Lepisosteus oculatus: one gene and its partners. The protein of the gene in region 2 purifies or fractionates together with the protein of the main gene of each other region. This does not show direct contact. Links are inferred from orthologs where the notes say so. Each region holds a gene or a part of one and is shown on either strand. Other genes may lie near its edges. The genes, in order: atf2, cebpb and atf3.

Region 1 (11,012 bases), on a different chromosome or scaffold from region 2:
TTCCATCAGCAAAATCAGCCCTGTTGAAATTCTGTGCACATATTCTTATGGATGATGGGGCTGGAGGGGAATTTATGCCGGTTTTCCTTGGAGATACAGATTTATTTGTGATGTGATGTGGAATATATTTTAACATGCCGACAGTAAAATAAACCATAAACATCAATGCAAACATTGCTGGCAGCAGACTTGTTCCGTACAGAACACGATTGTGCTCCTTTCAATATGAGAAAGGTTATGGTTCACAAAAGAAAGAAAACTTTGCCAGAACAACGTACAAGGTACATCAAAACACTTAAATTTGTTTTATCTCTGGATATAAAAGGGTAGAGATTAAAAAAAAAAACACTAAAGCAAAGAGCCTCTAATACCTTCCTCTTTTTATGTGTGCCTAATTTCTACAGCAATACATCACTTACATCTGTGCCAGCACAACAAGGCAATTGTCAATTAATATTAATTACACTACTGAAAAAAGTTCAACACAGAAAAAATGCATTGATTGTTCCCAAAAAACAGAATAATCTGAGCCTTTCTTTGGTTCCATCTCAGCACATGTAATAGAAAGATTTGGAACTACTCCAATCTACAATGGATTTTCTGTAGAATTTACCTTGTCGTCACTTGTAGTAGATTCTGGGTGAGGCAAAGGACTGTCTTGGTGAGTGGTTTCCACAGCTGATGGCTCTTCAGTTTTATTTCTTACAATGGGAGTTGCGAGTGGAGACAAATCTAAGGGTAGCTGAAATATGGAGGCATCGTGAACCGACAAAAACAATCTTAAAAAGTAAACGAGAAACCAAAAAAAAAACTTTAGTGGCAACAGTCTCAACAATTCCTAGGTGGCAAATTTCTATTAATAACAGTATTGTTTAAGAACAGTATGGCAACTAATTTTGCACTAGTCCTTCAAAATAATGTAAAAAATAAATTACATTTTATGTTTGTTTGTGCACGTGGAAACTAAATGGACCTGCATTCTAAACAGAGAACAGGAGGCACCTCTTTACCCCAAGTGTTGTGGGAGTATGGAACAAGCCGACCAGACATGTTGTTGAAGCCGATACCCTGGCTTCTTTCAAGAAACGACTGGATTTGATCATTCAATCAATTAGCTACTAAATACCAAATGGACTAGAGGTGCCAAATGACTTCCTCTCGATTGTAACCATTCTTAGCATCTTAATAAACGTTACCTTTTTGATGTCTTCTTCTGTTGCTTTTTTGAAGTCATTTTCAAAGGGACTGGCCAATTCATTAAATAGTCCCACTTCTTCACAATTCTTCAAAAAACGGGTTGGTGTTGGAGTTTGGTCTGAAACAATATATAACAAAAGTGTCTTTCAGTTGATTCAACAACAGCTACCTATTAATGAGAAAGATTTACAATGTGAGCTCTTTTTATCAGTTGAGGAACAATAACAAAATGCAAATCTATATTATTTTAGGTGGGTAGCTGCGTCAGCATGCGTAGCCTGCAAAGGAACAAGTAATGGGTTTATTCCATGCTGAAAAAAAGAAGAAAGAGAACACAACGTTTCGGCTGTGGAGCCTTCTTCAGGTGTCAGGTAATATATTATTTTATGTTGAATAGCACAAATACACACACAAATCACAACTTAAAAGTTATGGCTTTGCTGCCTATGTTCTCCCATATTGAAAATATAAAATAGCAAAAGATGGTGATAACTTATAGGTAAGACCAAATGATGCACTATGAAATGCATTACAGCATAGCCAACTGTAGGTTTTCAATGGCACTTTTCCTACTATTTAGATATATTTAAAATTATATAATGGGCTTTTCTAGAATAAATTTACAACAACCATATATCTCCACAATGTCTGGAACTGTTATGAGTCAGGCTGGGGTTTTAAGATTTCCTTTCCACTGAAAGAAATGAACACGAACGATTTGATTACACGATTGCCAAGACAAATTCCATTGCAGTCTAACTGCAAGGCATGACAGACAAGATACTCCAAACAGCCACTTCTATGACTGACTGATCACACCGTATCAACAGCTGATGAGTATTTCCAACGTGGCCAGAAGACAGGCTGAGAGCACATTTTTCATAACTCTCAAAACAGAAACAGCCCCACTATATTTGTCAGTGAAAAAAAACTAACTTTCATCGGTCTCACTCTGCTGCAGTCAGTAAATACGTCAAAGTCACCCTTTATCTTCTGGTATCTAATAAAAGCTCAGCAATTTGCAGTTTTTCTCCTTCAGCTTTTAAATGTTGGTTTTAGGTATATGTGCAACACAAAAAGGAAGACAACGCATGATTACTCTATTAATTGTTCCTCTATTGATAGATCAATGAAGTTCAACATGTATCTCTTCCGTTACGTCAATACAAGCAAATTCTATTGATAACATTTTTCATACCTGAATTGACATTTTTGTCAATTTCCTACACTTTAGATTCTCTTTCCCTTGGTAAATACTCCCCACTTCCTGGGATCTGCAGTTTGATACTCACCAGCAACGATGACACTGTCATTACGCGCTGGACCAAACTTTAGTGTCATCTCATGTTTGTGTTTGTGGACAGCCAAATGGTCTTCATTAGTAAAACGCTACAAAAAATACAACATTACATTAAAAAAGGTATTTAGGATAATGAATCTCTAAATGATTCAGCCAACAATTTCATGAACTGAAATATTTAGGCGGGTTGTGTAATTTCTAATTCCTGGTTTTGCAATGTTACTGTCTTAAGGTTAAGTAAAACAGGCAACCAATAAAATATTATATCCAACTTTTATTTTTAAAAAGAGTTTCAGAACTGCCACCCATACATACCTGACCGCATCCAGGAGCAGTGCATACAAAGGGTTTGTCATCACTCATATTCAGTAGATACTTTTATCTCCTAGATGAGAAAGATACCACACTTTCAAGACCTACTGTCACGCGTAATCACATCATGGACCACTGCAAAAGGCGACAAACCATTTCTTAAATAACGTTTAGTCTCGATTTCAACACAAGCATGCAAGAAAAAAAAACCACAATGAAAATATGACTACGTATTGAAAACGTCTGTAAACTTTAAGCCCGGGAGATAACACAGAACACATTACAAATACTTCAGGTGACAAATCGTTGGCGATTCTAGGAAAGTGTTTTCTGCTTTCCTCCTGAAGTACTCACACACACAGCTCAGCATTCTGGAGTGACTGACACGCCAACAAGCCTTGTGCATCATAGAAAAGGTCTCTAGCTCATTGGACAAATAAGCATAAAACTCGTTTTAAAACTAACATAAACATGCATGGAAGCGTTATACAGCTGGCTTGGTTGGTCTCTCGTTTATTTTCAAATTTAACCGTGCCGAGCATCCTCTTCAGTTGCATTAAAAATTAACGCCGGTCGAACACAAGGTATTGATATCCTTTCTGTCAAGTAATCGACTCCCATTCAGTGTTAGTGTCGTGTGAGGTACTCTTAAATAACTTAATCGTAGTATTTCTCAGGGCTAACCTTCTCTAAGTAAAGTGACAGTGATGTTCTTCGGCGAACAGGGAACAAAAAGAACAACTCTGGATTGCTGTGTTGTAAAACAGCTTCTTTTTTTTTACAATACCTGCATGTAAAAGATGCTACCTGTGCCCTACCATAACAGCAGAAGTTCTAGATATTCTATACAGAGGACTTAGATGTGTAAACAATAATGCGGAGGCTGCATTACGAAGACTGCAAAAATGCACATATACACACTATGTTAATGAATTAAAATCACATTTAGGGTGCCTGGCGAACATTACTGTCAAGATGCGGTTTCTTGTTTACAGTCCATCATCATTATACCATCCCAGTCTCTTGTCTTGGGTTGGGTATACCCCCGTCGCCATATTATTATTATTACTACTGTCACTGCAGTATAAAAGCATTCATCGCCCGTTGACAAAATAAGTAGAGACTGCTACTCTAAACTGCTTTCCAGCAGCAGGCTACCTTAACCGGTGTGGCAGTCGTTGTTTACCACGGCTGTCACGGTTTATACGGCCTGTTTACACACTTACCCACGGGCTCAACCTTTCTCACGGCCAAATCCCACGGGCTGCCGCCAGATCTCGCGACCGCTGCTCCAGCGCGGACACTTCCGCAAGCGTCACGAACGTGACGTGGCGTGCGCAGAACGGGCTGAGTGGTCGTACACGCGTGCTTTAAGGGCATTTTGATTCGAGAGGGTGGGGCAGAGGGTTGACTAGCTTTGATTCTTCTTTGTGCCGGTTAAATAAGACAAACTTTAAATTTTCACCTCGTTCTTTACACGGAATTGGAAAAGAAAAACTGAAGTTACATATAGAAAGAACACTGCTTCGTCTCTTAATATGCATTTCCAGTGTTAACATTTTGGATATTCATCGTTGTGAATGTATTTAGTATTAAATATGAATGAGACAAAACTACTTTTTACATTTACATATTTTAAACATGTTGGTGTACACAATACGTGACATAAAGGCTTTTACTTTCAGGTGAGTCCTCAATGATTTAATATAGACACGCATACTTTGCTAACGAGATGAAAACATACTCCAGTTTTATTTTTTGCAGGAGAAAAAACATTTTACTCAAATGAGGCCAACATGTGCCACGTGTTTTCAGCTTCTAGTACTGATGTCAAAAACGTTCCATCCAAAATCCGAAGCTTCCAGCTTCTTTCAGGTACAGGTAGGAGACTAACCAGCCAGCAGCACACAAACCATCACCCATTGTTCTTCAGTGTGTGCTTGGCAACCTGTACTTTAAAAAAGGAACAGAACACTTTTTTTCAGGGGTTAACCGACTCAAAATCTGGAAGACATCAGTCAAGAGTGCCAGTTTCTTTAACTTGGACTGCACATGTCAGAGTTTCCTCCATGTCAGACACTCTTCCAATATTCACCAATGAAATCCATTTTAGTCTTAAATACCCTAGAGGAGGGAAGAGCCATAGGATCATCTAACTTTTCTTCCACCTCTGGTTTAAATTACTTTGTGTAAATCTGTCCAAGAACAGAAAATTTATAAGGACTTAACGTGTTGCTAACTGAAAAGCACCTTTTAATTCTACAGGAATTCCTCAAAAGATTGGATTTGCCCATACCTGCCTTATAACAAAGACAATGTTGCTATAAAAATACTCTGATATAATATACTGCAACGGTGTTCAAAGACGATGCTTTCCGATTTTAATCCTCACATTGCATGTTTTCCATAAAATAGCATGTATCTACCTGAAGGATGCTATGCAGATCATATGCTTCAAGAACATTGAATGAATACACAATACTGTCTATAATTCTAATGTAAAATTTAGTCTTCACTGTAGGCCATTAGTATTTCAGGTGGGTAGCTGCGTCAGCATGCGTAGGCTGCAAAGGAACAAGTAATAGGTTTATTCCATGCTGAAAAAAAGAAGAAAGAGAACAACGTTTCGGCCGTGGAGCCTTCTTCACACCTGAAGAAGGCTCCACGGCCGAAACGTTGTGTTCTCTTTCTTCTTTTTTTCAGCATGGAATAAACCTATTACTTGTTCAGTAATATTTCAGTCAAGCTTTTCCCCTCATTGCACACGTACGACACATAATAATGTAAGTTCTTAATGAAAAGTATTCCCATATCATCACATTAATGCTGAACAAATGTTCCTAAAAGCTTTGAGTAATTTCGAAAAGCAGTGTATAATTTAATCATATCCACTTTGTAATGGTATTGAGATTTTCGGCTGTGAATTTGTGACGGCTCAACACTATCCTGATTATACTGAGAAGCAGCATCCAACTTACATTCATACTCATTTATCCAGCTAGAATTTTACCGGAGCAATCTAAAGTGCTTTGCGCAAGGATACAGCAGCTTCCACTGGGTATTTAAACCAGTAACCTAATAGTTCAAGTTCAGAACCTTAATCCCTGCATTATGCTTTTTCAAATAATTAAAGCAGTGACCACACTTTGAGGTGCAACACAACTAGGCCTATTCTTGCTTCTAGTTACAGATGAGAAGAGACCATTTTTCACAATTCTTACCCATTTGATTTCTAACTGATCCAATGACTATTTAACCAGGTAAAGAAGCTGGGAGACCTAATCATCATGCTACTGCAGTTAAACCACTTTAATTCATATAGACTCATAGATGTGATCTGTACGGAAAGTGGGACATCTGCAGATCATGAACCTTGGACCAGTTTCTGCATGACCTTTTCCAATATTACCTGTTAAAAATGGGAAATGTCACTTCAAAAAAGGGAGAAATATGAATACAATCAAAGTGTGTAATATGAAAAAAAACTAAAAATGTGTTTAATAATAATTGCTTACACTTATATAGCGCTTATTCTGGACACCCCACTCAAAGCGCTTTACAGGTAATGGGGACTCCCCTCCACCACCACCAATGCGATGGCAGCCATAGTGCGCCAGAACGCTCACCACACATCAGCTATTAGTGGGGAGGAGAGCAGAGTAATGTAGCTAATTCATAGAGTTTAGAGAGTTTAAGGATTCAGAGATTCCCATTGTAAAACGCATCTGCTTTTTTGCACGTTTGTAAAGACAAAGTAGTTTAATTACCTCAAACAGAGCTGGAAACACGTCATCTGGCTCCAAATTTGTAATTCCAATAAAATGAAACCTGCCATTTTGATCCCAAATTTTGCACTGATATTTTTATTCATCTAAGTGACAAAGCACTTTTTCTTGCTTAATGCTATTGCAAAAAAAGTCTACATGATACAAAGGGTGCTTTTAAACTTTATCCTTCAATTGAGTGTATTAAGTGTTCAATAAGAAACATCTTTTGCTTTCAATGTACTGAAATGCACAAATATTTTGATAACGAGATTTTAAAACAAACCTTGATTCCCAGAACACAAAACGGAACTGTGATTTGAGACTTTAAAAAGCCAATACGTGTATTTTAATTCTGTCATTGGTTACATTCTTACAATGTTTTTATTTTTGTAGTTTGACAGTGTTCCAACAAAATCCTGAAAAATGTACACTTTCATGACACCAACACAGAACAGTTTTAGTAACCACTGTAAAACACGTAGTTACATCTAATGTAGAATTAACATCCGAAGCAGTTTTTTTTTACATGGCAAACAAGATCAAGAAAGCAACCATCAAACAGAACAGACCCATGGCTTCAGAGAGGGCAAATCCCAGAATAGCATAGGAGAACAACTGTTGCTTTAGGGAAGGATTCCTGCAGGGGCAAAGAAATGAAAGACTGCAATTAGTCTTCTGTAAAAACAAGTGCTACAGATTACAGTTGTTCAGTACCAATTTAACATGAATTTACAGTGAACCGACCTACCTAATTAACACTTTCTTACCTTTCTTATTCCCCAGTGGATAAAGAAGGACTTCGGAATGAGTTTAACACAAAAATCTTAAGTGTGAAATCACAAAAAAAATCATTGTTTTGCAATGGATGAAACTTTTTCCAAAAAAAAATTGTAGCTAGAAAAAGCAGTTCTGTGAACTCTCAGAAACACTCAATTCTGAACACACCTACTTGCGTCCCTGATGAAAATCTTAACAGATCTACAGATGAATCCAAACTGTATGACCATCTGAGGCTACACTGACGCTGCCTACCTCTTGTAAGAGCACCTCTGCCCTGTGCTCCAAAATGACGATGTTTCTCACCTGGCATAGCCGATGATAAGACTGCCAAACACTGTCCCGATTCCGGCACCAGATCCAGCCACTCCTACTGTGGCGGCACCAGCACCAATGAACTTGGCAGCTGTGTCAATGTCCCTGCTGACGGCACTGGTCTGGAACCCCCTGAGCGCCAAGACAGAGTTCTGTGGCCCGCTCACAGCTGCAGCCTTGCCCTGGAAAAGTTTTAATTCTTTGTAGAAAAAGTAGAAGGGAAAGAAAAACACTTCTATCTGGATGCAGCTTATTTTAATCATTTGGGAAAGTACTTTAGGAATGTAACAGGAGGCCACTGGGCCCATAATGTCTGTTTGGTAATTTCCTCATTGATCCAAGGATCTCCTCCAGCTGTTTTGTGAAGGAAGCCAGAGTACCGGCATCAGCCGGGTAACTTGTTCCACCCTCCCACAACTCTTTGGGTAAAGAGTCACCTCTGTTCTCACTTTTAAAGGTCACAGCACAGACGTTCAGAGGAATTTTCATGTTAAAGCACATCGGCCACTAAGGAATGTAGGTCTGCACACTAAACAAAATCCAATAAATGGAATTTGATCCCAATATTCTACCAATCTGAAATGACATTTTCAAGGACTGAAGCACTACTCTTTAGACTCACCTCTCCTGTTCTGACCTCTGGCCGGGACAGCACTGATGCAGAGAGAGGTCTGCACAGAGCCCGAGATCCAGCACGGACCTGCACCCAAAACAAACCCCACATCAACCAGGGAACACACCTCATCAGCCCACACCTTAAGGGAAACTGACTTCATTTACATCATCTTACTTCACTGTAGCTATTTAAGATAAAACAAAATGCACCTATAGAAAACATACAGTTAAGGGCAAGTATTAGCATGATCATAAAATAATGTGCCCATGCAAAGTCCACCACATACCCAAAACGTGGATTATGGGAGACGAACAACAATTTGTAAATAATTTCTGAGCTTCACTGAGAAGAAAGGAAGAGATACAGCGTCAATATATTGAGCTCTCTGAAATTATTAAACGTCTGTGGCGTTTAAATCTTGAACAATAATCAATTTCAATTCCAGGTAGATATTTAGTTTTTCAGTACCAAAGGTAATTCCAGTACTTTAATCATGCTTGTTGTGCTACGTTTCGGCCTCCTTTACTTGTGTCCTGAGTTAGAGGACATATCTCAGCTGCAGAGCAAGGCAGTAAGGCCCAAGCCCTGAGCACAGCCTAAGTCATTCAAAAAATAAATCGCTGTCATTTTCAAACTAAAAATTCCAAATGCACCATTATTTACTTGGTTTACCCCTTACCGAGGTTTGAATTATACTGTGCAATTAGAAAAATAGCACGACTTTGACTAAAAAGGCCGGATTTTTTCAGCTTTTATATCTAGATATGAGTTCACTTTAATATTGATAACTGCCCTTTTGTAACCATTGAACAGTAAGTCGTTTGTATTTATTTTTTTCCCCATTTCATTCTAAAAACTGAAGGGGCCTGTGTGAACAGAAAACGTTTAGAAAAAAAAATAGGAAAAACTCAAGTTCAAGACTAGGCCCGCAATGAAATAAGAATAAAAGACCAGAAAATGTGGTTTTTGAAAATCAGATGTGGTACAGAAACTCACCAGAGCAGGCGTGGAAACGAATTTAGCACAAGCGTACATTCTGTCTGGATTTATTGGTTGCTGAGTTCGGAATTGATCATAAACCCGGGTCTGTCTCTGTGAAGAACAAGGGAGAGTTAAGGTCAATGGAAATTCTGCTCCTAAAGTCTGCAACAGCAACACCGAAACGAAGATCACGCATGCACAGATAATGAAAACTCATGAAACCCAGAACCACTACTTAATTACAAAGATCCCCAGGACAGGATGAGATGGGATTGTAAATGTTCTATTCCTTCGCCTTTTTCTTGCTTCCCCTTCACTTACCGGCTACAGAGGTCGAACCGATTAGAAACCACTGCGCATGCGTCTGCTTCTTTCCCTGCAAACTCCCGGATGGCGGCTGTCAAGGTCACTTCGCTGCAACTTTATTGAAAAACAGAAGAACTGACAAGTTACTGTTGCACTTGATTGGAACCAGCCGAGGGTTACAGTACGTTGCGTTTGTGAAAATAAACGTCCGCAATGACTACAGAGGTAAACCCAAAATCAAAAGTAATTAATCGAAGACGTGCAATTTTCTTTGGGGATGGAAAACTGCACGGAACTAATTGATTCTGTATAAATCAACGTTTAAACATTTCTTTTTAAATTTAAGGTGTCTATATATATATAACATACTTGTACAGTCCTTAAATTAAAACAGTGACATTCAGAAATAGAAAGACTCCACTACTGTTGAAAGCTGAAATCTATATACTTGGCCTTTGGGCACATTCCCTGTCCTCTCAATGCAGTTTAATTTGCTCTAATATCATTACTAATTAGCCAACAGCCATATCACCCTTCAGCTCTCAACTGGCTACCCCCTGAAGCTAAGTAGGGTTGAGCCTGGTTAGTACCTGGATGAGAGACCTCCTGTGAAGCAATCATTGCTGCTGGAAGAGGTGTTAGTGTTACCATTGGGGGGCGCCCACCCTGCAGTCTTTGTGGGTCCTAATGTCCTAGTATAGTGGTGGGGACACTATACTGTAGTGGGTGCTGTCTTCAGATGAGACATTAAACTGAGGTCCTGACACTCAGTGGTCATTAAAGATCCCCCATATGCAGCACTGTACATATAATGTGAAAAACTGACATGAAAGATGTTACATTTTAAGTCCATTGAACAATAAGTTCTATTTAAATAAGATCATTGATTAAAACTACAAAGGAGGGAATCTTATAAAATACAAGTGATGAGGGATACCATAAAATACCTAGAAAGTGCATGCATACTAAAACAAGACACCTATACAGTTGCGTAATCAACTTGGATTGACAAATAACCGTCATTTCTGGTTCTAGATTAATTTAATTAGTGCAAACATCGTATAGTGTTATACGTCTACCTATCCATTTTCTACCCCCTTCTTCCAGTTCAGGGTCATTAGGGCAAGGCAGGATATACCCTGGATGGGACCCCACTCCATCACATTTGTGGACATACGGTACAGGCACAAACTCACACACCAGGGTCCATTTTTCCAAAGTTCATTTAACTTACCAGTGTGTTTTGATACTGTGGAAGGAAATCCATGCGAACCTGGGAAGAACATACAAACTCCACACATATAGCATCCCAGGAACTGAACCAGGGCCTCAGCGCTATGGGACAGCAATGTTAACCACTGTACCATCATGCCTCCCACTGTGTTCTGTAAAGAGAGCATAATGGTAGAATATTTTTAAACAAAACCTTCTATGAATTGCA
Region 2 (10,381 bases):
CCCATTTTGTTCAAATACACCATTGACCTGTGAAGCACAATGTGAAAGAAAAACTGCAAGCTACTGGAGACTATATAGCGTATCTATCACTGTTTTTGATATTTTTAAGTTTTGTAAAATGAGGTCAGAGACATGGATAATCACATTTTCGATCTTGTTACACCAGTTTAGAGCCCAGACTTCCTCTTTATATTCAATCTGTTTTCCAGGCACTTTTACTACAATGACCAATAGGGAAAAGTTTTCTTAAATTATCATTTTCAAAAAGGACTTCTAATATGGTCAATGTTTTGCTTTTGTTCTTTAATCCATTGTTTTATGGAAGGTATTATGACACATCTGGAAATTATTCTATAGTACAGTATATACTATAGTATATTATAATAATGATGGGGTGAATATTTATGATTTCAATACATTTTCTGTTTTTTACTTTTAATTTTGTCAAATGTCTGGATTTTTTCCCCCACTTTGACATTATAGAGGACTTTGTGTCGATGAGTGGAAACAATTCTCAGTTAAATACATCATGGTTCCATGCTGTAACACAATAAATTGTGAAAAAGTCCAGGGACAGGGGGGTGAATACTTTTGCAAGGCACTGTACATAATCTGAATGTTTTAGGAAACATTATTCCATCATTAATCTTAAGAAGTTGGCAATCTTCCATAGGGATGTCATAACCTGGCTTAAAACTTATCAACACTGATGATCTCCCAAATCCGCAACAGTTTATTGGTGATACTTCTATTAACATGTACAATCTGATACTCTTTAAATCATTTTCTAAAGTAATTGCTGTCCAATTCAAAGCAATCCCCTCTTTTACAGGTCCTTTAGTCAAACAAGCAAGTCTAACTTTTATCATCATCTTCATCACCAGGCTTAAAACCAAAATCCTTAAACATTCTAGACATTTATGTTTACATTAAAGTTTTGACCATTCCTGTCACACCAGTCTAATAGTCTCTAAGGTTAGTACAGGGTTAATTTATGCTCAGTAATTTAACTTCAAATTGCCTGGATGCAGTCCACCGAAGAATAATGTATTTTAAGAGTTCCTATGGGGAAAAAACACAAATCTTTAGATTATTTAATGTGGGCACATCTGCTTATCACGTCTATATACTTGGCAGTGGCTCCACGGGTAATGAAGAAAAAAAATAACTTTCTCAAAAGAATTCAAATAATTGTAGGCAACCTGGAAAAAAAATGAATCTGCATAAAAGGACAAAGAAACTCATTCTCTCTGGAAAACGTACTGCAATAGTGCATTCCTTGGTCTACAGTAAATGACAGTACCACAGGCATCAAGACATTTTCAGTAAGACCTGCTTCACTACACCAATGTGGGCTCGAACCCAGGGGTCTATATTATCTTGAACTGCTGTTCTGTTTTGAGAAGGGCTTGCCAACTGAGACATAGCAGAAATCTCTGGGTTATCATAAATAACACAAAAAAAAACATGTAGCCTAACATTACTCACAGAGCTCACTAACTAACCAGACTACCATCAGCACTTATCAAACTGGAATTTCCAGATAATTTGTATCTGTTGTTTAACCAAAACAGGCCCTTTATTACAGTGTCCCAGAGTTAGATCTATCTGTTCCAGGAAATAAAAAGCTAAAAAAGTACTTAATAAATGTATTTGTATTATTAAGTCTGCATTCATTGTAGTGTTTAGTGGTATTATCTAGTATTAATATGCAATTATTTTGCACTGCAGTAGTTTTGTTTTTTTCCATTATAATTTTAAAATTGTATTTTTTTGTATACATGTATACAAAACTGTCACAGTTTTTTACCATCTTCCACTATTATTAAAGTCAACAAAAAACATCAAATGTATTTGTTTACTTCATATATCACTGTAACTAAGTAGGAAAAGGTTTCTGCCAACCACGTTAATAAGAACTGATCTGACAATGCTAAGGAACTTGCTTGTTAACACAGTGCTCACAGTCTCACATAGTGACAAGAATCTCCACTGGGACAGAAGGAGGGCATCATGGGAGACACTTCTCTCTAGATATCAAATGACTTTAGGGCAAGAAAATATTTTCGACCTTGCAGTTAAAAACTGCCTCAATAGCATAAAAACAATGTGTTTGGTACGTGACTCACTGAAACTTATGAGGACAGAAATATTGGCTTCTGGATCTATTATCTCCTGTTTCCTCCCACAGTCCAAAGACACTCTGATAGGTTAATTGGCTTCAGGGAAAATTGACCCTGGTGTGTACGTGTCTGTGTCTGCATCGTGATGGACTGGCGTCCCCTCCTAGGATGAATCCTGCTTTGCACACAATGGTTGCTGAGATTGGCCCCAGTCCCCCCGTTTTGACCCTGAATCGGATGAAGCAGTTAGAAGCTCCCTCAATTACAAATCGCCATCAATTCAGACTGACTGTCCTCGAGTAACTTCTGAATAAGACCCATAAGGACTGTGCACTCACATAGACATCTATATAATTAAACATTAAAAAGGCAGCTGGTGGCGTTACTTCTTAAGGAAAATATTTAGATCATCCAACACCCTGTATTTTTTAATAGTTGTTGGAATAATGATACCTCACATTTCATTTCCAGCAGTCCTAGTGTCTAACTGGAAAATAAAATCGTTAAACGACTCTACTTATCGAAAGCACTAACGCTATCATCCAGGTGGATGCTGCACATTGGTGGCGTTGGAGGGGATCCCCATTACCTGTAAAGCGCTTTGAGTGGAGTGTCCAGAAAAGCGCTATATACGTGTAAGCAGTTATTATTATTATTATTAACACTGTTATAACAATGCTCTGAATTTGTGCCCCGTCCATAAAGCCATTGTTCACTCACATAACAACAACCGCATCACGTGCGGATACTATATACAGAACCGCGGCTGCCCACCCATGGTTACGACACACCCTCTCTTATTTAACACTGTATCTTAACAATTACCTGGACCTGGTAAACCTCATTATTTTCACTGACTTTCCTGCCGTGATATACATAAACAACTGCAGAGAATCGACAACATATATGTCATTTCCTTACATGCTCAGCTCCGGGTGAGTATACTACTCCACGGAGCCTGTCGGGTAGCAGCTATTCATTCTTGTATAAGTGAATGTGAATACCAGGATTCAATCGCAGGCTGCTCATGTGGGTGTGACGCCCGCTAGCCCGCTGTCACCGGTATCTCACCTGGAGAGTACAGCTCCGCCAGCTCCCGGGCACCTGCATGCTGCGGGCCCCACCGACATTCTCCCCTGCCCGGTCCCCGCGGCTCAGGGTCTTCTTGGATCCCATTACTCTGTAACCCGTCTCCGCTCCCTGCTCTCGCCATGTTCCCCAGCAAATCCAACCCCCGCCCGGCGAGCGAGCCAACTGGGGCCCCGGCATCACGGCCTGGCCACGCCCCGTACCCTGGCATCAGCCAATCATTTCTCACCTCCCTATTCCGCTCGACCAATCGTCGAGGTCCGGACGGGTGACGGAGCGCCCTCGGTCCACCAATGGAAATGGCCCAGCAGAGGTTGTATTTCCTGGCCACACCCAGCCCCAGCCAATCAGAGAAACGGAACATGACACACTTCGGGGGTGGGCTGGCCGGGAGAGGCGTGTGTCTGGCTCGCTGCCTGCGTACGGCCGTCTGTGGACATTGGACACATTCCAGTTGCATGGAAAAAAAAAGTGGTGCGAATTAAAATATAACAGCATGACATCAGATCCTACTTTGCTCATACAGACGGAAGCCCAGAGTGCATTTTGCACACTACGAAACAACCACGGGTTCTCGTTGCAGTCTGGTGTTCATAATCAAAGTGTCATATAAAAACTATCCGCAATATTTCTAAATGACATCTGCTTTTAGGGTTCAGCGGCCAGTTACATTAAGGAAAGTACATTTAAATTTTGCCTTCGTGTTTCCGTTAAGCGTTCCTTAAGTTTAAGGGTGTTAACAAAAAGGCATAACACCTGAAAGTCAGTTTTAAGCACAGCTGCACGAGCAAAGGCATTAATACCTTAGGTGTTTCAAATCTTTATTTTGAAGATTCGGCTGCTCGGAGGTGTGTTACAGTGGTCCCGAAACTGAAAGGGTCGTGACCCACGTGTTTTTTAGACAATCCATATGTTTCTGTTTCCTGTTTCATTTTTAACATGCGTTTTCATTCATGTACCTTTAAATTAATAATCCCTCTGGTTATCCGTTTCGGATAAAATCGCCAAATAAACGCAGTGTGCCATTCATTTTTTGAATCACTTATTACAGTTTAGGAGACATCGCTCCTAAAAATGTGAGAACATCTGTCAGTGAACGAAACTCAACAATGAGTAACCTAAAATTATTATTTTATTATTTTGGTACTGTGCTAGTCCAATGCCAATACTGTGCGCAGAAGAATTCTCTTGTTAGCTAGGAAAAAGCAAAAATAACAGAACCGTTTGAATTAAAAATCACAAATCGGAACTGTTTGTATTAATTTTCTTATTTCGCCGTCCATCCATTTATTTTCTAACCGTTTCTTCCAATTCTGGGTCGCGGGTGAGCTGGAGCCTATCCCGGCAAGCACCAGGTGCAAGGCGGGGTACATTCTGGACGGGACGCCCGTCCATCACAAGGCAGACAGATACTAACACACACACACACCCACCCCAGGGCGAATTTTTACAGAAGCCACTTAACCTACCAGTAAGTCCAGTAAGCATCCGGAAGAGACTCACGCAAACACGGGGCGCACATACAAACTCCGCGCTGATAACACTTCGGGAATTTAACCCCAAGGCCCCAGCGCTGTGAGGCGGTAGTGCTAACCACCGTACGATCCTTATTTCACTAAGCAATGAAGGTGAATTCGACACGAGTACGGTCGGTCATACAGGTGCTGATAAGGTTAAGCGCTGCGCCGAGCTCCTCTGACGTAAGAGGCGCCGGTGTTGGGTGTGCCGACAAGTTAGTTCAGGTTTCAAGAAGTCTCCCAGTCTGCACTTTACCTCGAACCTGTCAAACCGCTAGCAAGTCATTAGCTGAACTCCAAAGTCACCACATCCAGTCGTGTTGTAAATCCCATCTCCCTGCAAACTCTGACCAGTTTGAAGTCACGATTACCACCAGTCCCCGAACGAACTAACTGAATAAAAAAGCAAAATAAAAATACGATAAAAGAGGTATTCTAATGAAACGTATAATAATATAACGATTTCCTTCAATCGTGGATTTATATTTGTTTTGGAATCCATTTGTGAATCTCATGTACTATGGGACAGCTATATAATAATCATCGTCATCATCATCTTTGTGTTTTTTTAATTTTTATAACAATTCCGTGTCAGGCCACAAGGGGGCGATATCATCTTTTTTTATCCGTCCTGCGTATCGCTCGAATGCTTCGGGCCATCATACATTTCTTTCCAGTCCTCATTTTTTTTTTAGTTTTGCTTTACGCGTCTGCCCTGTGCTTGAGTTGACTTGAGTGTCCTCTGCAGTTGCAAAGGGCTGCAACTCCCTTGCACCCTGGCTCAATGACACGCCAAGCAAGTTTCACATCCTTTTCAAATACGCACAAATCATTCTGGTTTAGTGATCGCTGTCGGTGCTCAAACATGCACAGGAAGAGAATTCAGTCTTTTTCATAAGAAACTGGGGAGCTGAGTTTGGAACAAGTAGTCAATAGAAGACATGAAACGGACTGTGGCAGTAGTCATTTTGAATTTTTTAAAATGTCTGAAAGGTTTCTTTTTGTAAAAAAAAATGCAGATACGAGACCTTTTTTTCCCTTGAGCGCACCAAAAGGCCTCCCCCGTTGTTGTAAAACAAGTTTACAGAACGACCTTTCACTCCCTAACATTGTCGCCTGGCATTGGCGATCGACGCGAGTAATGTGCTTGTAACTAGAGCTAGGAGCTGTGGAGCAATGTCCAAGCTGTGGTTGGGCTTTTGGTTTGTCAGCTTTGAAAGAAAAAAAAATGCAACAAGAACGTTTGGCCATTACAATTGCGTATTTATGTTTTTATTAGTATTTTATGTTTCGCCAGCGTGTGTTGCGCAACAGGACGGCGGATCCCCCGACTTTGACACTACAGAAGACCGACCCCCGCTTTTTGGCAGGGACCGTAGTTTGGGAGGGAGGATTGAGCAGTGAAAGACATCCATGAGAGAAATTCGGCACTTAGGATGGTTATCGCTCGCCGTTAAACAACAATATCTTTGTGTCAATGAGCAATTAAATAAGAATAATCAATGGTACAGGACATTACTGTAAAACACGCAGTGTTGTTTGATCATTTGAACGCAACGATTTCTTATGTCACAACATGGTGTATTAAAAGCCCCCTAGTCTCCGCACAGAAAAGGGTACAGCTCACAAGTCAATGTTTTTTTCTCCAAATACACAACATTAAGAGAAGCGCCGGTTGCCTTTTTTTATTTCACAGCACTGCGTTGCTCTTTTGCAGGTCCATTACGAGGGCAAAAAAGTTCAGAGAAGCACTGGGGAAAAAAAAAACTAGTTTGATCTTGAAACGAGCTCTCGGACTACAGCGTCGAGCTGATTTGCTGTTCAACCGGTACAGCCCGTCACGCCGCCACCCTGCCCTGAGGTCTGACGCCGCCCTCTTTCCAGGTTCGCTATATATACGCTGTTGCAAGCGCAAGCTGTCGAACTGGACGCCGAGCCGAGCGTGTGGGCGCTGCCAAAGACTGCCTCCCAGGACACACCGATTGAGCAATCGCCTCGGACGTTATTAGTATTATTATTTGTAGGCAGACCGTGCACCCCAGTTCGCCCGCTTTTCCCCCTCTGCCAGCAAAGCAAGTCCGCCAGGGAGCTCCGTCCCTGATCCCGATGGTCCCGCAAACCGGCGGGTGTTAAGATCGATGGCAGTGGCGGGCTTTTACGACGGGGATTACCTTGCGTTCCGAGGTGTTGACAGCAGCAGCAGCAACAACAACCACCACAGCAGCAGCACAGGCTGCAAGCAGTCCATCGGCGGTTCGATGACGGAGCTGGGCATCGCCGAGCACGAGAAAGCCATCGACTTCAGCATCTACCTGGACCCCGCCTTGCCCTTCCAGCAGCAGCAGCAGCAGATCCCGGTCGAAACCCTGGATCAGCACCACGGCGGGGACATCTTCTCCACTTTTCTTGCCGAAGACAGCAAGAACAAGCGTGCCGCCACCTTGCAGAACTACAGAAACTACTTGTCATTGAGCGCTCGGGGTGCCAATCAGGGCGACAGCCCGAGACCGTCGAACTTGCTGGGCTTCCCCGAGTTACTGGAGACGCGAGTGGACACCGTGTTTAGCCCGCAGCTGCTGGGCGGCTATATCAAGCAGGAGCTAAAGGAAGATTTAAGAATGGACAGGGGCTCTCCCAGTTACGAGATGAGGTCTTATCTACAGTACCAGTCGGCTCCCAGCGGCAGCATCGGGAACCTCTCCACCGCCTCCTCCTCCTGCTCCAGCCCGCCGGGCACCCCCGCCCCGCCAGGTGCTGGGGGGTCGCCGTCCCACGGGAAGATGTCCTCGGGCAGCAAGGGCAAGAAGAGGCTGGAGAAGGACAGTGAGGAGTACCGGCAGCGGCGGGAGAGGAACAACATCGCGGTGCGGAAGAGCAGGGACAAAGCCAAGCAGCGCAACATGGAGACCCAGCACAAAGTACTGGAGCTGGCGGCGGAGAACGAGCGCTTGCAGAAGCGAGTGGAGCACCTGTCCCGGGAGCTGGCCACCCTGAGGAACTTGTTGTCGGCGACCGGACAGTGCTAGCGCCGTTGCGGGACTCGGTACGCGCGGCCGCCGCTTCAACTGCGGGGGTACTTTTTATATTGCCAGCTGGAAAATACTGGCCCCCCTTTTTCTCTGGGAAGTATTATTTGTAACTCAGATGTTTCTCTTTCCCTAAAAAAGGATCAAATTGTTTACCAATTTACAAGGGAACCGTATTTCTGAAAGCGTGTGGGTGTTGTTTGCTTGGGAACATGGAATATGCGACTGATTGTTGATAAATTACCACTTGTGATACCATGTCTGTTTGTTTTTTTCAAAAATTGTTTACTGTATTTTTATACGAGTTTTAACGTTTAATATACTTCTGTGTTATTTAAGAAATGTTGATGAAAACACGAAGTGTACGCTCTTTTTTTTAGCAACGGTTGTCAAGGGAGTTGGATTGCGCAAATGATGCAATCCGATGTAACAGTATTGGCAATGCAATGAAGTAATCTGTTAAAGATGGAAAGGTATATACAAATTATAATGAAATGTATAAATACTATTTTATTGAATTAAAAATATTTTTACTTTGGTGCAAACTTTGTTTTCGTGTCTCTGTTGCTTATAGCGCAAGTTGCGTGAATGGCTCAGAAGAGGTCTTGTAAGCCGGTGCATTCACATGATATCTGAATGGGGTTCACCGCTATTTTCCTTCACTGAAAAGGCACCTGTGAAGCTGTGGTAACTCGTGGCTCTGAAGATACTGAGCTGCCGAACGCATTCATCCTTTAATACAACCCAGAGCTGGTTAAGAGATTATCGTAGGAGCTACATCGAGCTCAGCACAAGAAAACTGAGTAAAGGCGTTAAGTTTTGCGACGATAGTGTGATCTGGGAATTCTTGACAGTGGTGATATCGTCTGCAATTTCGCAGTCTAAACAGTATACAGTCTAAAGCTGCAGGACAACAAGATCCAAAAGGAGCCTATGTCCATTACTGTATCAAAGCAATACACTCGAGCCTAAAGCATTAGATCAATATATTTTCAGTGTTTAATGTAGTTATGTAAGAAAATTGACTATATTTCATAGGGTAAGATGAAAATTACCTTTACTGTGACCTAGGTTACATAAAATATTTGGAAATGGTTTAGTTTCATTCTGTTTTTGTAATTCTCAGACACTCATGTGTTGGTGGTAATATTTTTTTCCCCATGCACAAGTTCTAATTCAGTATCGCAATTTATAGCACATTCCCAAATGAGCACCACAGGAATACTGTAACACCTGAACACTTCCGGCCCCTTTTTCCGAGATCTGATGTGTCAATTTAGGAAGTTTTAGCCTGCATGTCAAAAATCTGTAATCATGTATGAAAAAATCTGCACAAGACAACTACTGTTCAAGATAGACTTGCTCTGTAAAAATCTCTGCTGGGTTTTCACCATCTATCATTGTGCCATTGATCTCATATCTGATGTGGGCTACATTTGGAATTTATTTATTTCAAGCTGTTATTTACAGGTGCGCACAGCTTCAGATATACACTTCGTTCTTTCCAACACACCTAATACTTAAAAGAAAATGTACATTTCTAATTGAGCATTCACATACATATATTTTGCAGATGATGTGATACATTTTTAAAGTGCTTTTTAAATTGGTATTTTCCTGGCATTAAACAGTAGGGGTTTCAGTCATTTTAAAAGAAGGGAATGTATTTTGTCATTTAGGGGTCTGATTTCATTAAGGCAGAAAAAAGAACAGTGATTTTATCAATCACTTGTCAGTAGAGTATGTACCCATATAACAGAAATGCATTGCCTTTAGTTTATAAGTTCTAATACTACATTCACACAAATACATCCATTTATTTTTCTAACTGCTGTATCCAGTAAAGGGTCATGGGGAGCAGGAGTCCCTCAGGTGATGGGTACAGGGCAGAGTACACCCTGAACAGGACACCAGTCCATCACAGGGCACAGACATGCACACACTCACACAAGGGCCAATTTTTCTAGAAGCTAATGAAGCTACTAGTATGTCTTTGGACTATTTTTGGAGAAAGAAACCAGAGCACCCAGATGAAATCCCACCTGAATATGGGGAGAACATACAAACTCCCCACCAATAGCACCCCAGGAATTGAACCCAGGGCCTCAAGTGCTGTAAGGCAGGAAGGCTGATTCCTTCTCCACTGCGCCACTCTATTCACAAACAGTCACACACATTTCCAAAAAGATGTGGGAAACGGTCTATATATACACTGTATATGGACATCACAGATTACACTCACTGCAAAGTGTCAAAACGAGTTGCATGTATTTTTAAACACACTGCTCTGTGGAGATGACAAAAGCTGATAAGGGTTTTTTTTTCACTTTTATTTGTCTTGTTTTTGATTTTCTCCGCACTGCCCCAAAGTTCACTTAAATGACCAACAGCACTCACAGAGTGGCCAGACATCGTGATACACCCTTGTAATCAACCCTCCTGCTTGCATGTTCAGAGAAATGCAGCTGTCCCAGCATCTGAGCACATGGCTGCTTAATCATAAGGCACTCCGCATTCGAGGTCACAAGGAAAAAAAAAACAAGGAATACACCCATTTTTTTTGAGAAACAGCATTGATTCTCACTCTGAGTCACTTGTTAAAATCTTATCTGCTGATTGGCGACAA
Region 3 (11,248 bases), on a different chromosome or scaffold from region 2:
CTGAACTGCTTCATATCGATAGATCTCTCATTCTGCTTGAATTGTCCCACGTGGAGCAAACAGAAACACTGTTGTGTTTCTTTAACAGTATATGACATTTAAAGATGATCATATGCAATACAGTTTACAAGGAGATTGTTTTAATTTATTTAGCTGCATATCTTTTGTAAGCTACATTACTCTTTATATAGTTATATAACAATGATGGTAAAGATCATGGATATCACGTGCCGAGCTGTTGACCTTTCTTTGTGAGTAATGGTTAATAGTTTGCCACCCTTCCTGGTTACAATGCCAGTCCTCTGTGGTTTCTTCATGAGTCACACTAATAAGCTAAAATGCATCTCACTTTAATGTGAAAGCTGTTCAAAACAACTTTCATATTAATGATTCATATAAAATATACTGGTAGGGTTAAAATGTGATGTATATGGATTAGTAGTTAGGGCTCTGCCCCTAAAATGCGTTGGTTGTGGGTTCAAATCCTGGGTGGAGTGTCCTAAAGCAAAATACTGCAGTTGAATTTTGCTTATTAAAACTTCTAGCTATATAAAAATGGGAACAATCCCAAATAGCTTTGTAAGAACATTAAATAGATCAATATTTATAATTAATTAATAAAGCAACAGGATCAAGGCAAGATTTACCCTGGACACTCCATTGCAGGGCAGACACACAAACAGAACCACTGACACTCACACCAGGGCCACGTTTCCCAGAAGCCAAGTGATCTACCAGTATGTCTTTGTGTCTTTGGACTATGGGAGGAAACCAGAGCACCTGGCAAAAACCCATGTAAATACAATCATAAAATCTCCATGCAGATAGCACCCAGGCCTGAAATTGAACCCAGAGCCCCAACACTGCAAGGCAGCAAACCTAATGACTATTACGCCATTTTAAGTAACACCTTTTTAAGTAACATGCAGCCTGATACTTTTACTGGTAGTCCGGATGATTTAAGGTAATATATAAACCATGCTATTACTGTATGTACTTGCTGTGTCTTTGCCTGAGGCCATAGAGAAGTTGCTTACCTTTTTGGGGTAGGGAAATGTGAACTATTAAACCTTCATTAAAGACAAAACAGAAAGTCTCCTTACTGAGAGAGAAATTCTCCCTTTTTATATATCAAAACAGTATGATATATAAAAACAGTATCAAAAACAGATACTTGCTAAGTAATACATTAAGTATTCAGTACTGTGAAGAACTACTGGCATACTCTATAAATATCTACCTTTTCTATGCAGTAATAATAGCCTAAAAAATGACCTGAACAAAAGATGGTTATCTGAGTAGTTTAGTGAGTTATGCTAAATTTATTAAGGACTGTAAAATAAGAATACGCTGTGGCTTGTCTTTCCAAAATACAGTACATGGGAGCAGGCACACCCCTGGGAGGCTGAGAAACAGTGCTGTGTTACTGCTCACTGTAGCACTGGCACAACCAGTGATGTAGAAGCCTGGACCGCTGATGAGGCACTTACATGCAGTCAGGCTTCTCATTTATTATTAAAGTGAAGCGGGAAGCCTTCAGTCAGACCATGGAATAGGGAGGTGATGTCACTTTACCTTTGGTTTCCTATTGGACTACGACTCATCATGCATCAATGGTATCATCATAGCCCGTATTCCATATCCATTTTATATCACCAATTGGAAACAGCATGTTAACAAAAAAAAAACACATGACTCGCTTCATTACTGTAATGTAATTCTGCAATAAGTAGAGTATAGCTCAGAACTATGAATATTCAGTACTTTTATTGGTAAGAGACTGACAAACCTGGGCCAATAAGCTACAGTATGAAGTACTAGGCAATTATGGCAGACCAGATAGCCTCCTCCCTATCGTTACTCTTTATATTAACAGTAAAGCATAATGTGTTAATTGCTGTCAGTGCTGGGAAATTACATTTTAAAACATTTAGGAAATGGTAGAGCAATATCTTTCTTTTCTGTGTCTCATAAAACAAAATTTGCTGGCTTATTTCTTCTCCATCTTCTATTATGATGACCAAATATTTCACAGGACTAAATGATATCACGGTAGCCTCTATATAATAATTTAGTTTTAATAGTTGTGCTGATTTAATGTTTAATTTAATTTTCATTTAAAAGAGTTGAATCATCTTCAATTAAAGCTCAGTTTTGATACGGTTAATCATTAAGAGGCTTCCACAGAATATTACTCATCTGTGAAGAGTGGGCTTTAACACAATTAACATTGCAACTAAAGTTGCAATTTATTTATAGCTAATAAAATATAAATTTGTTATTATAACTAATTTAAAGTTAGTTCCTGAACATTAGTGTTATACAGTCCATTCATTAGCTTCTTTCTGTCCTAGGTGCGTTGTTGTTTTCATTCATTTGGCTAAAGTGATTCCCAGAGGTTACAATTAACCAAGTTTTACAAGCATACTGTGGTGACAATTTACAGCTGAGTTTTCTGTAGCAATTTTGGTAAGGCACCTTACTGTTAGTGCCAGCAGGTACAGTATATCACCCTGCAGCTCTCAACTGGCTACCCACTGAAGCTAAGCAGGGTTGAGCCTGGCCAGTATCTGAATAAGAGACCTCCTGGGAAGCAATGGTTGCCACTGGAAGTGGTGTCAGTGGGGCCAGCAGGGGGTGTCTGTGTGGGTCCTAATGCCCCGGTATAGTGGCGGGAACACTATGCTGTAGTGGGTGCTGTCTTTTGGATGAGACATTAAACAAAGGAGGCCCTGACTCTCATTGGTCATTAAAGATCCCTGGGCATTTCTGGATAAGAGTAGGGAGTTATCCTGGTGTCCAGGACAAATTTTCCCCCTTGGCCTTTACTGTGGCCTTCAAATTGTCCCCATGTATGGCTTGCACCTGCCCTGTGATGGGCTGGCGCCCTGACAAGGGTGTACCCTGACTTGCGCTCGCTGCTTTCTGCAACACTGTAAGGTATAAACCGGTTTGGCAAATGACGTGACATGACCTTACTATCATAAATCAATAGTTATCCCAACCAAGAATTTAAAGGAGGTAATTCTGCCCATACAGCCGTGCCATCAGGGGCCCAGAGTCCTTACCATTAATCCACACTTCTAACCCCGGTCATGGTCTTGGCCTTCACTTCCTCTTTCATCATAATAATGGCTTGGGTACACCTTTCAAGGGAAAACAGCATTGAGATGACTATGACACACACCCTGCACAGATGTTTTCTGTTTCACTATAAATACTTACAGGAAACGAGGTTCTCAGTTTGAAAGTGTAAGTAAGAAAGTGGTGTTGTTTCTGTTTAAGTCCATAAGAAAACTGTGGGTGGCTGCTGGGGTCAAACTTAGAAAAAACACCGGTGCATAGAAAGTCAAGTGGTTCTGTCTGTCTAGAAGATGCTGGAAGCAATGGTAAAAGAGCTGCTGAGTCATTTAGCCTTGCTTACTCAACTTATGAAATGTTGAGAGCAACGTCACTTTCACTTCTGATTAAGGACAAAGGTCAGCTCATGAACCTTGGTCCAGACTCAGGACTGACACAATGGCATTTAATCTAATAGCCAAGCAGACTTTCAAAATCTGACAGGTGAAAATATTCTTCACTGTTTGAGCTGTTGCCATATTGCAGGTCCCTCTATAAAACTAAAACAATGGTGCTTTGAAAAACAACCCAATTATAAGCTACACAACTGCCAAGAAACATTTACAAATATTGCATTTACCAAATCACATATTTTGCACAATCTTTCTTACATATTACTTCCAGAAATTCATTATATTTCAAATAACAACAGGTGAATTTGGCCTGTACTTGTTTAATATAACTTATAGTAAGTGGTTATGGTTTCAAAATATAACTAAAAACTTAACTGAAACACTGGTAAGAATAAGGTTTAGTCGACCCTATGCAGCTTTCTCATGAGGATATGAAAATACAAAACTTTTTTCTTTACAAAAGATATGTGTTTTATTGTGGCCAAAAATAAGCCTGGAACAGGAATATTAGTTTCACATGATGCATAAAGAAAAAAAACATTTGACTACTGTTTCACATAATTTGATGAGGCATAAGGGGATGTTAAACTAGTCTGAACCCAAAACAGACAAATAAGACAAAAACAATACCAGACATATATTCCTTGAAAAGAAGAAAAGGATTGGAGCTTTTTGAGTGTTTGGAAAGCTGGGATGTGCATTCCCCAGCAGTCTGAACATCTGAAATGAAAGATGATTTGGCAAGAAGGCAGTGGGAGAGTGTTGCTATGGCCATAGCCTGGTAAACAAATATACACCAACTTACTCGCTTTCAAAGCTGAGAACAGAAGACACAGAACCGATTTAACTTCGTTTTAAAATAGCCATGACTTCTACTCTTCTGCAATGCTTGAATGTAATAAGGAAACTACAACCATTATTTAAAGGAAGCAGAGTCATTCTACATGTAATGATACAATCTGGTCACCAAGGTTAAAATTATGCTGAGTCACAGAAGTTATTTTTGTATTAAAAATGAGTTTGCCTGTTTCTTTTAATAGAGTATGCCCCCAGCTGTGTGGAATTTTTGGGACACTTCTATCACAGTTCACATAAAGGAAGGTGTCTTGCTCCTTTGTCTACGAAAGTAGAGTGAACTGAATCTCGAGGAAGTGACGTCACAGCACTAGTATCATTTGACAAATTATTTCCACAACCATCATACCTGCTGTAAGACAACAGGAGGGTGACGACATGACAAGTGCTGAAGTTTCAAGAAATGTCTGATTTTGCTTTGTCATAATTAGAAAACCATTTTCTCTTTTAATCTTTTAAAGAAGAAAGAACTGTTATTTCAGTTGTAAGAGAAACCTAAACTACAAGTTGAAATTCAAAACAATTATTGTTATTTATTTATCTATTGTATAACAGAGTTCTGTAAATATGCTTTAAAAACAAGCCGATTTCAGGATCATAGGAAAAACTGTGATGGTAAAGATTTTGTGCCACAGCTATGATGACCATAGCCCATGTTAAAGACCATGACTAAAACCATAATATATTTACAGGCAGTCCTGGTATCAATTAATATAGATACAGAAATAACACAATATCTTCTATTGAGTCCTTTTCAAAAGTTGCATTTTAAAGTTATAAGGAACATGTTATTTTTTTAGTATCAGTGGAAATAGTTATACATTTTGTAAAATACCAGCTCAACAGATCGTGTGTGATTTTGATATAATTCAATATACACTCACCTGGCATTACATTTTTCTCAATAATACAGTTCTAGAATTATACTATTGCTTAATATTAATATATATTTTTTGTTGCTTACCTAAGCTAATATACAGAAAAAATTGCTTTTAAAAAAACATAGTTTTTACATGTTAATTTAACAATTAATGCTTTAAGCAAAATGAGTATAAGAATTTGCTGTGAAAGTCTTTTTTAAACTGTACTATATGTCTCTATTCAAGGGAATCCACACATTCCTGTTAAATCCTAGTTCATGATCGAACTGAAAATGTTTTACAAAATTTAGCCCTGATTCCCATTCAACACCCAGTTTCTACTAAGTCACACTAAGCATGTGTCAATTGACAATTTACGTGGTATGGGGAACGGTTTTGTAGTTCCTCATTTTCACGGCAGTAATTGAGAGCTTTGGTCTGGAGTACAACCCCAATTTACGAGATCGAAAACCAATATTTTACAGTTCCTGAAGGCTCTAGACTCTTACTTTGATTTACAGTTTAGCTTTATTTTAAAGTTTACATATTGCCAAAATACTGTTAAGAAATTAGAACCCACTATTAAAAGAACTGGGAGACTGGTATAAAAAAAGAAACTGATTTCTGATTTAACGACCCAGCTTGTTTTCCATCACAGGAATTTATGTGATGGAAAAAAAAAGCCCCGTCCCTTTGTAAATACTAGGGACCGGTGTACACTCATAATGTAAACGAGAAATCCTGTTTACGCTTTTAAGGAGTAAGGGCCACACACCCATTTAAAAAATGACGATGGTCTGATTCACACTCATCATGTAAGAGATTCACAATTAAATTAAATTTAACTCGGGTTCTGCGTATGTTAAAACTACCCTCAGTACAACAGCCTCAACAATTTTATATGGGCAAATGTTTGCAAAAACAACAGAATGCATATACAGTTCTTGAGCTGCGCAGACAAAGCTAGCTCTGCTGGTCTTGATCGCAGGAAAATCTGAAAATGCAGTTATGCGTTACATTTCGAAAAAGTTTCTGTCTAGTCAATAAACAAATCATATTTTTTTTTCCAACAAAGGCTACTCATCGCTGGAAATAAAAAGTATTACACCTTTCGGGTAAAGTAATTACAGCAGCCAATACTGTTTCATGTTAAAATGTATATCCTGGCTTTAAATGTCGCTCCCTGTTGTCACTGTCCAAAAGCTCAGTGAATATATTCAAAACAAGTAAAACGAGTGTTTAACATTTACAGCTCAGCTGGCTCCCTTTCTGTCTTCCTCCAAGATGACGTCACTCTGCGAGAATAGGCGCTCGGTGAGCCCAGGCCGCTAATGTTTATATCAGTTTCGCCGGGTGAGTAATCTTCGGTTTTACGGGAACACGATGTGTCACCCAGACAGAAAGCGCAAATGATCATCATTGATTTTGACTTTTCTGCAGTACCCGTTCCCTATGTAATCTATTGGTAGAGGAGGGGTTTCGCTGTAGTTGTCATTTTCTCATTTCTCAGCTGATTGAAGCACTGCTCAAAAACAGAAGAAAAAAAAATGACTCCTTCACTTCCCGGAAAAGGGGACCATCTCCCTCTTCAGTTGCTGGTACATCAGGAGATGGTTTTCTCTCTTAAAGTTGTAATACAGATTTACCGTAAATTGCATCGACAAAACAAATTATCCAATGTGACTGGGTGTATGTACATTACGATCAATAAAGGGGACTGAAAAAAGAGGCATATCTCCAAAAGGACAGTAACATTGTGGGAGACATTTCCATAATTAAACGACTTTTTTATAAACGAAGTGACGTTTTAAGTAAATTAAAAAAATTCTCATTAGGACAAAAGGGAATACAAACATGTGTCTTATGTTTGTTTCTCAAATTATCTGTTTAAATGCAGAACGTTACTTTAGATTTTTAATGTAAATTGCTCAATATAGAATTTACTTTGGAAATATATATATATTGCAACGTTTAAAGTTTCTTATTTTTGAAATGGAGTACAAATGGAACAAAAAAAAGTACAAATGGAACATTTCAGTAGCGAAATGAATAAATAATTTGTAGCATCATATTCCTTCTTAAAAGTAATATGAAATATGAAAATTAATATGGAATAACTACCCAGTTAGCAACGTGACAAACTTGATATGCTCATTTTGGCGTCATTGGGCTAATGTTATAGAAATCATGTAATGACCACATGTAAATTTTAACCAAGTCATTTATCCATGGCTAGTGGCTTACTCCCTTACCATGTTCCTTTGTATCTTTCCAATTAGATAACGAAATAATACTGGGCGCAGTAATTTCAGTGTTACCTATCTTGCCTTTGACACATGTTTTGTTTTATCCAGTTCCAGTTCAGTTTACTGTCATATGCAGAAGTGCAATGAAATGCGTATTTGCATGTATGCTCCGATACAAAGACATTAAAGGAATCACCAAAAAAGTACTGTAGACACAGAACAGCAGCAGCAACAACAAGTTAAATAACATACATCTTGAAAAAAAAACATCAGTGTGAGCCAGTGGTAGGGGTAGAGTTCAGTAATCTGAGTTTGTGGGAAGAAACTGTCTCTGAATCTGGACGTTTGTGTCTGGTTGACAGGTATAACATGATACCTGATAACATTCTGATAACATTTTCACATTCTCACTGCACTCCAGTGTGCATATGTAAAATTTCACTTGCTTACAAATGAGTCAAAGGTCAAATTGCTTTTAGGCAACCAGTTAAATTAAAACTCATCTGAAGTGAATACTGAAGGGTTTGTGGAAGGAGGTTACCAAGCCTTTTCTTGGACAGATGACATCATACATTTCTCCCACGCGACTGTAAAGCGCATTTGGTAAACATACATATAAAAATAGCGCCATATAAATGATGTGTAATAACATCAATAGAATTTCCATTAGGTTTCACAACATCAGGTACAGTATATTAATTTGTAACTATAGCTTTAGTTTGACATTGATGTTGGAATCAGTCCATACATTCAGCTCAGGAATCTCGGTTTAGCTTTAAAATCAGCTTTGCATTTGGAACTCCTGTTTGCAATGTTGAAACGTGTGAATGTATGAAAGGTAACTTTGTAATTTTTGTAATTTACTCATGTCTTTCTCACTCTGATGCAAACAAGCCAATACGTGTACAGGTAGGTATTTCTTGATTTCGGGCTTGATGACTGTAACACAGTGCTTGCTGGTTATTTATGTATTAAGTTGCCTCAGAGCTCAAGTGCTAACGTAACCAAAACTAAAATATAGAAGTTAAAAAATTCTCCTATTTTACCTTGTCTGCTCTTGCATTTCAGAATGAAATGCATTTCAGAAGAAAACTTAAAATATCAGTGCCCTCCTTTAAAGGCCTGAATAGACTCCTGTTTACATCAGTGAACTGTTATCTCCCAGTACACCTACACATCATTTGCATTGTTTGGACTCTGGCCTTCTTTCAGTTCCCAGAATCAGGCTTCAAACTTTGGTTTGCTTTGCTTTCTCTTCTGCTGCTTCAAGGCTATGGAATGATCTCACAGCCCATATTAGGTCATTTTGGTTGTTTTATACTAAAGAGCTCTGATAAGATGTGTCATGAAAGGTGCATTACAAAACAAATCTGATTAATTTCCAAAATGGAAAGAGATGTACAGTAACAAGTGTAACACGTTTTGTACTGTCTTCCACACTTTTTATAAAGAACAAAGTCAGCTTTGCTCTCAAACTTGCAATTTCAACTGATGAACCCCTCAAACAATTACAGCCCAGGGGAATAAAATAGCACTTTATAAAGGAAAGTTTACAGACAATGACAGTAATGCAGAAAAGATCAAAACAATATGACAAATATTATTTAAACCACATAATAGCTGATGAGTTGAAATTATTTAGATTTGTAATGTATGGGAGATCAAAAGTCTTTTTTTTTCTTTTGAGAGATAAAGAAACACCTTCAATTTTATTAGAAATCTCAGTCCACTACAAAATACCTTTTCAATGCATTTGTGGGGTATTTCTGGTGCATTTGAATATAAGAATGGTGGCAAATAAGAGGAGGATATTCAACCCACCCCAAACCCAGGGTATCGACTTCAACAACACAGCTGGGTAGTTTATTCCATATCCTCTCAACCCCTTGGTTAAGGAGTGCCCTCTTTTCTCAAACCTAAATGCCACTTGTGTCTTGTGTCTTATGGTTCATGTGTTATTGATGAATCTGAGGAAGTCCTCCATGTTGTATTCGTCAGTGCCTTTGAGGGTTTTGAATATCTGGATCTGGTACCCTCAAAGTTTCCTCACCCAGTCTAGTGTGTCATTAAACAAACAAGGCATGAGAGGTTAAATCAATTCTAATATGTTACATTTTGCAATTGATCTATCCTATTTAATCAATCAATGGATTATGTCAAACCTTTAAAACGCTACATGATAGACTGCTGGATGGGACACTTAATGCAAAGCAGGGACCCAGAAAGATTCCATCAAGCTGTGAATTAAAATGTTTCTGTGGGCAGCTTTGGGTTGAAATTCTGTCAGAGGTTATCTTGCATTTCTGAGGTATGAACTAACTGATGTTTAAAGCTTGCACAACATTGGGTAATAATTACCATGAGTTACTTCAAGGGACACTGTGGAATTAAGAAAGAAAATTGAAACACAGTCATAGCTGCTGTAAATCTGAAACTTATTCTGTTTCTTTTAAATGACAACTCGCAGATAGAGCAAAGGGACTGTATGTGAGGAATGAAAGTCAAAGAACTGTCTTTGATGAGGTTAATGTAGTTAACTTTAAAAAAAGACACACTGCTACCACTGGAGGCTGATACTCCACAATCCCTTCCTAGTTCCTTAAAATGCATAAAAACTGACATGACAGAAACTCAACAGAAACATGCGTTTTACTATGCAACTCTCACTATTGCTTTAACTGTGAATTGCAAATATTAAAATTCTCTCTCAGGCAGCTGGGTCTTTTTTAATATCCTAATAAACAACAAAAAGTATATATAAAAATACAAGTATTGTATAATCTTAAACTTGTTTGAGAAAAATTATATCTTAGAATAATTTCTGAAAATCATAGATACATGTGAAAACAGTAAGAACTATAATATATTTTGCTGTACTTTAGTTGCATCTAGGTTTCAAGGATATTATTATTAAACAGACTGCAGGTTAAGTTCCTGTCTATCTGATATAGATACAAACTAACAATTAAATGTTTTTTAAACATTCTAACTGACAAATGCCAGATTTCTCTGGTACATGGTATACTGACTGTTTTAAGTTGTCTGGAGAGTAGCATTACATTTTTGCCTAACTAAATTGGCTGTATAATGTATATATTCCTTATTGTTCACTTGCCGCACTTCACTTACTGGATTTAAGTAATACCTTCTACTACTACTCATATTAATAAGAAATAAACAAAGAAAGAAAAAATTAGTGTAAACGCAATAATCTGTTCTGAACATAGGTAAACGTCTTATTTCGAATTACATCAGAAACTATCTTTGAAAACAATGTCAATAATATAATCATATAATTATTTTTAAAAAGTTTTACAGGTTCTTCTGAATTTCTTTCAACTTTAAAGCTCTTTTATCTTAGTTTATGTGACTTTTATGTATTACCGTATATTACTTCATTTAAATTTTTTTGTCATCAGTTGCCCTTGTACTTTCGCTATGATAAGATAACTTTATTGGCCATATACAATGTCTTGCATTAGGAATTTGTCTTTTCACATACCCCAGCTTGCTCTCCACAAAACACACACATAGGGGGAGAGAAGCTTGGGGTCAAAGCACAGGGTCAGTCATTTATATGGCAGCCCTGGAGCATCTGGGGTTAAGGGCCTTGCTCAGGGGCCCAGTGGAGTAGGATTCCCCTGCTGGCCATGGGATTTGAACCAGCAACCTTCCAGCCAAAGGTGCAGATCCTTAGCTTTACTGAGAGGTAACAATAAAGATAACTTATGTTCTATTGTAAAGAACATAACCATTTAAAAGCATTTTGCAAGATTAAAACAGTTTGTTTTACACCCCTCATCAGGCTTTTTTG

The links.
Region 1: the proteins of cebpb (region 2) and atf2 purify together in Homo sapiens (affinity purification with western blotting; 3 studies listed by BioGRID and IntAct, with this or other methods). This does not show direct contact. The link is inferred for Lepisosteus oculatus from reciprocal best matches to the Homo sapiens genes CEBPB and ATF2.
Region 3: the proteins of cebpb (region 2) and atf3 purify together in Homo sapiens (affinity purification with western blotting; 3 studies listed by BioGRID and IntAct, with this or other methods). This does not show direct contact. The link is inferred for Lepisosteus oculatus from reciprocal best matches to the Homo sapiens genes CEBPB and ATF3.

What each region holds. Positions count from the first base shown.
Region 1 is NC_090707.1:17,191,519-17,202,530, forward strand, and holds the start of atf2 (cyclic AMP-dependent transcription factor ATF-2), read right to left. Parts: upstream 4,138-11,012; 5' UTR 4,036-4,137; intron 4,029-4,035; exon of another isoform or gene 3,968-4,028; intron 3,962-3,967; exon of another isoform or gene 3,753-3,961; intron 2,945-3,752; exon of another isoform or gene 2,883-2,944; 5' UTR 2,861-2,882; coding exon 2,813-2,860; intron 2,587-2,812; coding exon 2,490-2,586; intron 1,316-2,489; coding exon 1,197-1,315; intron 743-1,196; coding exon 614-742; intron 1-613. Other genes in the region: atp5mc3a (ATP synthase membrane subunit c locus 3a), read right to left, coding at 7,099-7,213, 7,660-7,850, 8,291-8,368, 9,281-9,319. UniProt on the Homo sapiens protein: Transcriptional activator which regulates the transcription of various genes, including those involved in anti-apoptosis, cell growth, and DNA damage response.
Region 2 is NC_090711.1:12,164,478-12,174,858, reverse strand, and holds cebpb (CCAAT/enhancer-binding protein beta), read left to right. Parts: upstream 1-6,645; 5' UTR 6,646-6,867; coding exon 6,868-7,755; 3' UTR 7,756-8,300; downstream 8,301-10,381. Other genes in the region: peds1 (plasmanylethanolamine desaturase 1), read right to left, coding at 3,195-3,336. UniProt on the Homo sapiens protein: Important transcription factor regulating the expression of genes involved in immune and inflammatory responses. Also plays a significant role in adipogenesis, as well as in the gluconeogenic pathway, liver regeneration, and hematopoiesis.
Region 3 is NC_090697.1:18,859,431-18,870,678, reverse strand, and holds the start of atf3 (cyclic AMP-dependent transcription factor ATF-3), read left to right. Parts: upstream 1-6,374; 5' UTR 6,375-6,541; intron 6,542-11,248.